Linked DNA regions of Drosophila melanogaster. The gene in region 2 interacts genetically with the main gene of each other region. Each region holds a gene or a part of one and is shown on either strand. Other genes may lie near its edges. The genes, in order: Rpn10, Ube3a and drl.

Region 1 (3,753 bases), about 10 Mb from region 2:
CCGAGTCGACCGGCCACTATCAGGACTAGAAAATTATTTTTACTAGACATGCAGTGAATGAAAAGACCCTCGCAGTCAATTAAGTCAGCAGCAGATCGTGTGTATTTGTTTATATATTTTCACTTGAAGCATAATTTGAAAGACGGCTACAAATGATTTTAATGGGCATACAAATGCTTTAAACGAGCTTATTAGATATAATCATAGATGCGGTTTATTTTTTTTGCGAGTCCTTGCCGTCGCTCTTTTTGTCCTTGTCCTTGTTGAGTGAACCGACAGCATCGCGCACCGCCTCCGACTGGGGATCAACACCAGGCAGATTCTCCAGCACGCTCTGCAAGAAGGCCGGGTCTCCGATCACCTCCGAGTAATCCTCGTCCACGTCCATGGGAGCGTTTGCCTCGTCCGTCTTTGGGCGCTTTGCTTGCTGGGTAACAGAGTCGTCGGGAGCGTCCTGCATGGACATCTGCATAGCGAAGGCAATCTGTTCCTCCTCAGTCATGTTAGCAAAGTCCGGCAAGTTGTCCTCGGGTGTTTCGGTGGACAGGGCCAGGGCACGCTGCAGCATGGCCTCCTCGGTGTTGGCTTCGTTCTCTGCTCCGGCACTTTCTTCGTTTCCAGGTCCAGATCCCGAAACGCCGCCTCCGCCACCAGCATCTCCGCCAGTCGGTGGAGCCCCATCGGGATTGGCGCGACGTTGCTCGCTCTCCTGGCGCTGCCGTTGCTCCTCCATAGACACACGCAAGGCGAGAGCCAGTTCGGGGTCCTCGTTGGGATCTACACCGAATTCGAAGACGTTGCCGCCCAGGCCAGCTCCGCCCATGCCGTCCTCGCCCTGAATGATGGGTGACGACAGCAGGGCATCCGACAAAACTGATCCCCGAGGCACGCTGACCAAATGGGAGCCGGTGCCGTCCTTGCCATTAAGCGCGTTGATGAATGCTGTGAGAATCTCGTTGTTGTTGCCATGATCACCGAAGCTAACTATGTCTACGTTGACCTTCTCCTTCTTGAGGCGCTTGGCCTGCTTCACTAGATCGCCCTCCTCGTGATTGATGGGGGAGCCCACAAAGACCACGATGCGCATTTTGTGGTTCTTGCCTTGGCGATGCTTCAGCACCAGATGGGCAATTCGGATTCCGGTCAGGAGGTTTATCTCGCCCTTCGGCTGAACCAGATGCATCTTTGAGAAAATCCGTCCTGCATCGCTAGTAAGAGTGGCCAGCACTTCAACGGTGCTGAGGTATAAACAAAGACATAATGAATATGTGGCATGGGCACAAACGCTCCACACTCACTTGGACAGAGTCATCAGGCCCACATTGTTCTCGGGATTGGAACGCAGCTTGGTCAGGCAGACCAGATTGATGCCATCTCTCTGGACGATGAGACGAGTTGGAAAGTAGTCTCCGTTGCGCTGGAAGTCGCTGTTATCAAAGCTGGAAAAGAGCAAAATATGAGTGCCAGACTGTGTGCCGTTGCAAGCAGTACGGGAAAACTAGCGGAAGCTCTTCGTATTGCTCAAAAAACAATAATTTACCATATCATAGTACTCTCCAGAACCATTTTCGTATTTTTGCTTGTCACTTTGCCACTGAACTGTAATTCCCCAGGGTTGCCAGGTGCTGTGCTGCCTGAACTATCGGCATTAAAATATCGGATTTGTATGACCGTTGTGCGATATTTTTGTTTGATTATATTTACATATGTACATTCTTTTACATTTTTCTACACCAGTCCATTATTTAATGTTAGTCCTGTGGAAAAGTAATTTAGATTATGTAACACATTTAAAGTTGTTTATTTTATTTACTAATTCAGAATATTAATATAAGCAACAATGTTGAAACAAACAAAATGATGTATATTATCTCCGCAAGGAATATTACACTGAAACCAATCATTAGGCTCATGATTCCACCAGTTGACGCTGGAAAAGATACAAGGAAGATACAACGCTTTAGTCAACTGCCTTGAATTCTAAAACCATCTCTATATAAAAGTTGTATAATTTGTTTTTATCAATTTTGGATAAGCCTGAAGCTCTTTTGTATGGTACTAGGCAAAATCAAGCAAAAATATTTCCTTACGAGGTGACGAGTTACATACGTTATGTAACGACAAATAGTAATATTTGATTTGTATCAAATAAATTAACTCCTAAGTATGCAACTTTGAGCATAAAAATACCTTCTGATAAACGGTAATATTTGGATTTTTTAAGCAGATTGTGCATTACACACTCTCTTATTGTGCATTACACTCCGGGTGAACATCGTCACTACATGGACTGTTTTTATTAATCGACTTAAAATACCCCCTCGAGTTAAAAAAAAAAAAACATGGACGTTTATACTATCAGACGGACGGGCATCCCTGATAGACTCGGAATATTATCGGAATTGCAATTACTGTTCTAGTAACGATATAACAATAACGTAGAAAGTATTTAAGATCTAAAAAATTTAATAAATAGCATACCCATATATTCAGTGGGTCCGGTATACGAAGTCCTTACACTGCTCCTGAAATAGTTGTCGGTGTGAAAAAAGTTTACTACCGCCAAGTTTTTGCGCATGTATTCACTTGAGAAATTCGTCAAGTAGTTGGTCTGTGCCTTGACGTCCTTTTGGCTGAATGGAGTGGAAAATGCATCGGGAAAGAAAATTAGGTCGTGGCAGCTGGTCAGGCAAAACTCCTTGCACTGAGAGCTCTGTAGGTCGAAGATCTGGGACTCTGCCCGATTCAGACATTCAAAGTGGAACACATCGCACACTGAGGCGTTGGGATAAATTAGTGGTAGGTAGTAGGGAATACAACTGCAAAGTCTCAGGAAAAACATGGAGTCGCACTCGGCCTCGCAGTTTCGGCGCGTATAGTAGCGATAGAAGAGTAATTCCTGTTCGTCACTAAAAATACACTGGCGTTTCGTCCTGTGAATATTCCTTATAGAGGGTGTAGCCTCAACGTTTCTAGCTATGATGCGAAAACTCGTCTGGTGCCCAATCATCACAGGTAATCCTGACTCCTTCATGCGCGGCTGGTCTATCGGATTATACAGGAGTATCTGAAAGGTATCTGAAAGGTATAAGCTAGCTGGGCAAAAAGCGTACAACACAACTTACCTTAAAGCCCTGTCCGTTTGTGGAGGAGCAGAAATAGTCGTCCACGTGACCGTTGAGAACGATTTGCAGACCCATCGAGGTACCAACTCCAACTCCCGGACGCGGATAGTAACTTGAGGGTAGTCTCTGTGGGTAGCCAGATATTGGATCCCAGTCCACGGCGATATCTGCAAACCTGTCGGACGAAGTGAAGTCCCGAATGTAGGGCGATCTTTAAATGAGTAAGTAAGTTATTCGTTCTTTTGACCTTCGTTGAACCCTACTTGAACTTATAAAGATAATACGGATGCAAGACATTAAATATGCAGCACAATCCTTCATCCACGAAAGTTTCTCTAAAGATGTCAGTGCAGGGTATCCTTTGTTGATGAAATATGCAGGATACTATCAGATCTGCACACTTCTCGGAAACATCCAATATGAAATTTGAGAATGTTTCATTTCTGTGCTGAGTATCCATGTATTGCGAGAAATTTGACTCCTTATAGCAGGTCTTTTGAAGCATGGCGTATCTTATGGAGCCCCTAATAGAGTTTATTATATAATTGGGTTTCCATGGGACTTGAATGATACTTACGGCATTAAATGCTCTACTTTCGACTTTTTAGCCTGGTTCATATTGCAAACC
Region 2 (3,753 bases):
CCAACTGCATTACAAGCCATATTGCATAATAAACCTAACAAATACCTTTAAAACTTTGGTGACACTGATTATGGATTCGTTCTCGCGCATGGATTCCTCGTCCAAAAGCACCTGTAGAGTAATTTGCTGCTGGCAGGCTGCGATCAACGAATGCAGCTGATCTGAACAATGAGCAGCCCAGATCCTGGCCAGGCGCGCCTGTGCCGGCACTGGCATGGCCGACGCCGCTTGGCACAATTTTGGCAGCACCCTGTCCAGATAGTCCATGTCCACCACACTGTTATTGGCTAAAGGGTTATGAGAAAAGCTGTAACTTGAAACATTCCAGGCATACAATTGAAAAACTCACTATTGGTGGCTAGATCAAAGCAGATGACCAGACAGTGAATGACCCTCTCCCAATCCGTACGCATGTAAATCACCCAGTCAGACAGCTGAATAACGCTGCTGGTAAGCTTCTCCGTTATAGCTCGTATTTGACAGCCAAAAAGGAGACGCTGCACTCGTCGCAAACCGGGCAGATCCACCAGTGTGTCGCTGCTTTGGGATGAACACACATCATCGTCCTCTTCTTCGGGCTCCGCCTCTGATTCGACTGATTCTGCAGTAGCAGTAGCATTAGCCGCCGATTCTGATTGTTCGTCCACCTGTTGTGTACTGTCTTCGTCTTTATCGTGTTCCCCTTCCAAAGTTCGTAGCTGCTCCTTGTTTAAAGCCCCCGGTGAATTGGCCAGCAGCTCCTGGAGACTACTAGAAGCCGCTGGTTCTGCGCTGCGAATGAAGCTCTTGCCCAGTCTATCTACGCTGGAGAACACAACGCCGATTGCGTGGCAAATCCTGTCGTAACTGTCAGCCGCCCTACATTGCTCATAGAGCGCTATCAGACTGTTGGCATCCAAGCTGTGGACTGGCGCCAGGGTGGGTGTACACGGTTCCGAGTCGCCGGAGGAGTGTTCAGCGCCGGCGATATCCAGTTGCGGCACACTCTGGGTAAGATATGGACTGGATACGGGCACTACAACGGCAGCTGGCGTTGACTGCGATTGTCTGCTGGTTGTCGTGGTGGTACTGGCTGAGGTAATTGTGCTTGTCGAGCTGCCGCTGCTACTACTGCTACTGTCGTTCGGCGAAAGCATGTCCACGTCCTGGGGGCTAAAATGGGAAAAAATTTAATTGAAAGATAATTACCTATAGAAAATCTTATCGGTGCTCTGGAAACTTTGCTACCCAGTTCCATTTGTTAAGAGAATTCTCACCTGTTGGCCTCCGATGTGAACGCCTCGCAGAGCTGTGCATCCTGTGAAAAGAGCTGCAGTGCTCTGGCGGCCACCTCGTTGGGCGTCATGGGCGCCACCTTGCCGCTGGAGGCGCAATTGGCATTGCTGCAGTTGGCGTTCCCACAGCCGGATTGTAGTTGGTGGAAGTATCGCTTGATTAGGCTGCGCACCGCCGAACGCTTCATTTCGGGCGTGGCTCGCCCGCCCACCGCTCCAGCTGCAGATCCTGATGCACTGATGGGGGGCAAAGAAAATCAGATTTAATATGCCACAACGTAAGTAGCTGAAGTTATTCACCTGGAAACACCTGGCAGATGCTGATCATCCTCGCCACCCCCGCCACCGTTCATCTTCGCTGAAATCTGCGCACTTTACGCCCCCACCGCCGCCGCCCCTTTCTTTGTTTGTCGAAAGTGATTTTGCTCCACTCACAAAACGAAATGGGAGCAAAAAAAAATCGATGTTGATGTCCCTTTTTTGTGTCGCGGCTACCTAAAATTCTTATGCTGAAGCTACTCAGCCGCTGCCGTTGCCTCTGTTGCCCGCTCGTCGAGCGCTGAACGCCGACTTCCTTGCAATCTGATAGCAATCCTTTAAAGCTCGATAATTCGTCAACGTTTTGACAATTTTGACTGTAATAGCGTAAGTGTTTATGAATGAAGCAGGCAGCAACGAATATTGAAAATCATTCTAAACGATGTGCTATCGATGAACTAGTGATATCGACAGCACACCGATAGGCACATTCTTTATCGGACAGTATTGTTAGTCACTGCCGATAGACGTCCGTTGGATGTTTGCACTTTTAAACGTGATTGTGAAACTCCAAGGGATATTATGACTAATACTAATAATAATCGAACTATCGAAAAACTGGTTGCTCGCCAGTGCTGCAAAACACCGGCGGTCTTATCAGCTGTCGACGTATGAAACCAATAACACCGTGTCCGTATTATCGGATCTATCGTTCCTCGAAAAAAAAAGAAAAATAATACGCAGGAAGAAAATACTGGATTCCGTAGCCGGAGCGAATGCAATGAGTTAGTCCGACCAGCCGGAGAAACCAATCCGAGTCGCAAGATGACGGAGCAAGAGGATTTGGCCACCAGCGGAGGTGGCAATGCGACCACTGGCTCTGGAACCAATTGCCAAAACCAACTGCAGCAATGTGTGCGTGGGAATGTCACCTGGGAACTGCTGCCCGTGCACCTGCGATCGGTTCTGCACAACAATCAGCGTGACTACGAGAAGTTCGTCTTTAACTATAGTCTAAAGAATCAGCTGAGGTTCCGGGGCAACCTGGCCGCCAAGGTGTTTCGCCGGGAGCAACGCTACTACGAGCTATTGATACAGAAGAGCATCAATGGATTGGGCGCATTTCCCTACCACCTGGCCGATATCGTCACCAAGGGCTTGAGGGTGACGCCCTTCAACTACTATCTGGATGTTTTGGGTCAGCTTTTGCAAAGCGACAAAAGCTACGATACTTTGCCCAACTTTACAGCAGCCGACTGTCTGCGTGTCTTGGGCATTGGCCGCAACGAGTACCTGGCCCTTATTAGCGATATGAAAACTCACACACCGCGCTCCTTGATCTTCGGGTCGCGGCCCAATCCGCTGGACTTCCTGCCACGCTTTCCGGTGCGCATACACATCGAGCCCTGGTGGCGACTGGACATTGGCTATGTCCTGGAAGCGGATATTCGCTATCTGTCGCCCGCTGAAAGAGGCCTGCTCGATGACTTGATTGACTTTGGAGCCCAGCCGGCTGGGAAATGCGATCACGACGTGGTGCACAGCCTGTACCGGAAGGGTTTGATCTACTTAGATGTGCCCATTAGCGGGGAGGACAGGATATCCATACCGCCGCTGCGCAACTTTGTGATGAATCGTGTGAGCGGGGACTACTTTGAGAATCTGCTGTACAAGATCTTCGTTAGCGCGGATGAGCACATGACCATTGCCGAGTTGGCACAGATGCTGCAACTGGAACTGGATAGCGTTAAGCAGGCCATATCGTTTATCTGCCGTCTGGGTTTCGCACATCGCAAAGAAGATCTGGTCAATCAGACGAATCATTCCAGCTGGGAGGGATACAACCAGCAGCAAACGCCAGATACGCCGCAGATCACACCGCTGAACTACAATTTGCATACCAGTAGCAGCTTCGAATTCGACCAAAGTCCCAAATCGCCAAAGACACCCAAGGAAAGGGAGAAGGACAAGGATAAGGACAGCAGTTCCATAGGCTACCTCTCCTCGGATGGCAACACGAGTGACTTCAGCTTTGCCAACCTGAATACGACACCCCAGGAGAGAGTGAACAACAGCGATGAGCAGGAACTGAGTTCCGAGCTGGAGCAAGAGGATATGTGTGCCCCAAAGCAGGCTGCTCCATCGGCTGCAATATCAGCGGCTGTCTTGCCAAAAAGCGGTAAGAGGGTGGGCTTTCTCTTCGACTCCACGCTCACCGCTT
Region 3 (3,753 bases), on a different chromosome or scaffold from region 2:
GCGAGTGTTGTAAATTTTACAACATAATTTTTGATAATTTTTCCCTATCAGCTATACAGCTCCCTGCGCCCCCGATCCACAGAACACACTGCCTACAAAACAAACACTTTGCATGTGTTTTATGATGCCACATGGATGTGGCACAACTTGGGCCGCTTCACCCTTTCCTTTTGGCCCATGGATTGAGGCTACTGATTTATTTTTTATATTCACTGGGTTGTAAATTCTTTGTCTGGGCCCTGTGACACATTGTAAAACAATTTTCCCCACTTTTATTAGCTTGGCAATCTCTTCGACAGGATTTGTGTGTGTTTCTTTCTGGCGGGGAATGGCTTGGGTCCAAGAAGACGAGGTTGGGGATGGGGATCGGGGCGAGGTATAAATATAAAAGTAGATTAAAGGTACTTGGGCTGCGGACTCGAGCTATCCCAAGCCGATTTGCTTGGCCAAGTGGAAACCTGGTTATTAGATGGAGATAAACAAATCTGTTTTGATAAGGGCTAAGAATCAGTCACTCGGATTTTTAAGCTTATTAGAGTAGTATTCTTCTATGGAAAATAGTTAGGCTAAATAAATAATATAAACTAAACTAAACTAAATATTTAAATACTCATTTTGGTGTCATTTTTTGACTACATGATTTTACTATTTATTTTCTTTTGAAGACGTTTATAAAATATATCTAAAATTGTTTTGTATTGTTTTAAATTGGATAAACTATGAAAAAATATGATTTTTTAAATAAAAACTTTGATTATAGAGGGATTACTTATCTAGAGATGAATCCACTTGCCAATCGAATTTAATTTAACGCAAAGAAATACAAATTTAAATCGCTTTAGCATTTCTATTTATCTAGATAAGTCTAACGAACAATTAAATCAAAGAAACAGGAAATCATGCTAGACAAATAGAATGTTTTCTTGTTTCTCGGTGAGCTGGCCAATTGAAGGAGGGACAATACTACTTTATATGTAGCTCCGAGGCTAGAAACAATTAAAAGGCATATATTATTTACGCAAAAAGAGTAAATAATCCCAGCAAGTCGCATTCGTTTGCCCAGGAGACAAAATCCCGGCTTGGCATAAATCAAATTTGATTTAAAGTCGAACGAACGCACACAAAGTGGCAAATAATTGCCCAGTTAATTGAAAAGCCAAAAGGCAGGCGAAAATCAACACGATTACTTACCGATTAGGCGCAGCACCTCGTGCAAGTTGAGGAAAATATTGAGATGGGCCTGACCGCTGGCGATCAGGGTCAAAAGTAATCCGATTGTTAGCAAGTTGGGGGCCATCTTTCGGATTCGATTAATCCGCCGGTTGTTTAGTCGCAATAAGAGGAAGAGATAGTTTTAACTGCAGTTCGGCTACTCTGCCGATTTTCTATTTCCCGTTTGGCACTCGCTAAAACGATTTAATTTCCGCTGCACTGCTGTTCACTTTTTGCGCTGCATTTGCAATTTTACGAGCGTCGCGTTGATTTCAATCGCGCTGATTATTACAGGAATTATTTGTCAGAGCATTTGGCACTTTGCCTTCTGGCCGGGAAAACTCAGGCGCACATATTTCCCAATCAGTCTCTGTCTCTGCACCCGTTTTTCCTCGCTTTTCTCGCCGTTCGTCCGCGTTCGTTTTCCGCGTTTGATCCGCTCACCGTGACGATTTTCCACAAACTGTCAACTGGATAAACAAACACTTCGCCACGAAGCGAATGGCTTCCACGCCGAGCGGAGTGGAGTGTGGACTGTGGACTGTGTGTGGCGCTCGTGGACTTGTTCTGTAGAACTTGAAGGCTGGAACCCGTATAACAGTCGTGTTGGAACCTCGAACTCGGTTGCAGTTCGAACATCTCATCGAACATCTCCAATTGGCTAAATACCAAAACTGGCATACTGTTCGATATCCTTTATTAAATTAACTAAACAAACATTCATATAAAGTTTAAAAAATAGACCCACAAACTTCCCAAATGAATTCGAATTAATGATGTAATATAATGATTTTAACCTTTTAACTTTTTTTTATTGTGTTTGATTCAATTTCGAATTAAACTCATGTTGCCAAAAATAAACATTACGACATTTTATACTTTATAAATCGTTAGTTTATTACAGAAAGAGAGACAGAAGCTTGCAGAAGCATAAAATAAATAAGTACAGAATATATAAATACGTACATGATTTTAGGTACATCAATTAACAACATAAATAATTTATAATTACAGACTTGGAATGTGTATCAGTCGTTACACAAATAATAGGAACAGAAAATTAATACTAAAAGCACACAGAAGAACCCTAACAAAAATCAAAGCTGCACGAGAAGAATCTTAACTAATACATTTGACAAATCAAATCTTTGGAATATTTGCAAACTGGCCTTGGCTAAGTACTTGATAATTTGACACAATACTTCATTAGTTACTCTTAACATTAAATTCAAGCCTCCAGTTTCAGCTGATCGATGGAGCTTAGAGTAGTTTCAATAAGCAGATTGTAGTCCAATTCGTTTAGACTGGCCTTCGCAGTCAGCAGGTCCAGAAAGGAGTCCAGTGGCGAAAGGGCTTCGGCAGTTAGATCTGCAAGAATACCAACCAAATTGGTCATTAGAGAGGTGGCTATGGTTAAGTTAGATAACAAGAAACAAAATGTGCAAATGGGACAACGACTGGCGAACACTGAACAGCGTTTCTTACCGGTCAGCGATGGGAATGTTTTCTACCAGATGAGAGGGCGCTGCCTGAACGCATAGCTCGATATGCTCAGGACGACCGTGGTTAGAATGAAAAGCAGAAAAACCAAAAGCAGCGAGTGACAAACAACAGTGTTGGGCTTGCCCAAAGCTGGACGAGATGTGTTCGGGTGAAGAGTGTACAAATGAAAAGTTAACGTGTTTATGGCGGGCTAACCAAGCAAGATCTTACCGCTCCGCGCATTATTTCGCGATTGATTCACGCAGGCCGTGGGTCGCTGCTGGTGCAACACCTCCTGCTGCTGACCCGACAGAATGTTGGCCGCATGCTCGCGTCCGCGGATCATAAGGCTGTCCGGATGCTGCCAGCATTTGAGTAACCTTTGAGCACGCTGCTTGGGCAGAGCAGACAAAAGTGATAGCTTCCGCTCAATGCCCAGTGGAGAATCTTCAATATCTGAAGGAATACATTAAGCAATAATGAAATGAACAGTATATGAAAACAAGTATATATATTTGTTACAAACCGAAAACAATGGCCTTCATCACATCCACTTGCAGTTCGAACACATGATTTTCCACATACTGCAGAAACATATCATAGCCCAGCGCACGATAGCCCAAGTAGGTGAAGAACGAGGAGAAACCCTCGGGCAGGGGAAACGCAATCGATTCCACAGCCAGGCAATAGCGCTCGAGGATTAGAAACAGAGAGTGCTGTTGATTGGCAGCCATTTGGTCACTGCAATCATTACAGACGTGAGTGAAAAGTGATCACATTTGAAATCATCACCAACTCACATCAACTGAAAACCCCTCGAGGTCTCCATGCGCGCATCTAGGCCTGCAGCACGACAAACCAGAGAGCAAAGAGCCCGCGAGAGTTCAAGCTGCGCGGAAACGAACTGGGAGGCCACCGCATGCACATGAGCTGGAGCCTGGGAGCGCTCGAAAAAGGTCTCCTTCAGCCAGCGGAAGCCAGTGTTGGGCTTTGACGTGTGCTTCACCAGGTGAACGCTCAGCTCGCGCAGATACTGTAAATTTCGTAGCTTTAATAAAA

The links.
Region 1: of Ube3a (region 2) and Rpn10, changing one suppresses a phenotype caused by changing the other (phenotypic suppression), as found in Drosophila melanogaster (one study listed by BioGRID).
Region 3: of Ube3a (region 2) and drl, changing one suppresses a phenotype caused by changing the other (phenotypic suppression), as found in Drosophila melanogaster (one study listed by BioGRID).

Annotation. Positions count from the first base shown.
Region 1 is NT_037436.4:21,534,926-21,538,678, reverse strand, and holds Rpn10 (regulatory particle non-ATPase 10), read right to left. Parts: upstream 1,680-3,753; 5' UTR 1,567-1,679; coding exon 1,541-1,566; intron 1,440-1,540; coding exon 1,299-1,439; intron 1,239-1,298; coding exon 215-1,238; 3' UTR 97-214; downstream 1-96. Other genes in the region: ppk5 (pickpocket 5), read right to left, coding at 1,818-1,930, 2,482-3,067, 3,126-3,336, 3,389-3,649, 3,703-3,753. UniProt on the Drosophila melanogaster protein: Binds and presumably selects ubiquitin-conjugates for destruction.
Region 2 is NT_037436.4:11,208,580-11,212,332, forward strand, and holds the start of Ube3a (ubiquitin protein ligase E3A), read right to left. Parts: upstream 2,005-3,753; 5' UTR 1,628-2,004; coding exon 1,575-1,627; intron 1,512-1,574; coding exon 1,257-1,511; intron 1,153-1,256; coding exon 350-1,152; intron 288-349; coding exon 46-287; intron 1-45. Other genes in the region: CG7600 (uncharacterized protein), read left to right, coding at 2,358-3,753.
Region 3 is NT_033779.5:19,188,273-19,192,025, reverse strand, and holds the start of drl (derailed), read right to left. Parts: upstream 1,685-3,753; 5' UTR 1,298-1,684; coding exon 1,192-1,297; intron 1-1,191. Other genes in the region: pigeon, read right to left, coding at 2,441-2,580, 2,926-3,150, 3,221-3,435, 3,495-3,727. UniProt on the Drosophila melanogaster protein: Probable coreceptor of Wnt proteins. Involved in neuronal pathway recognition and ventral muscle attachment site selection. Non-vital for development. May be part of a signal transduction cascade involved in learning and possibly memory.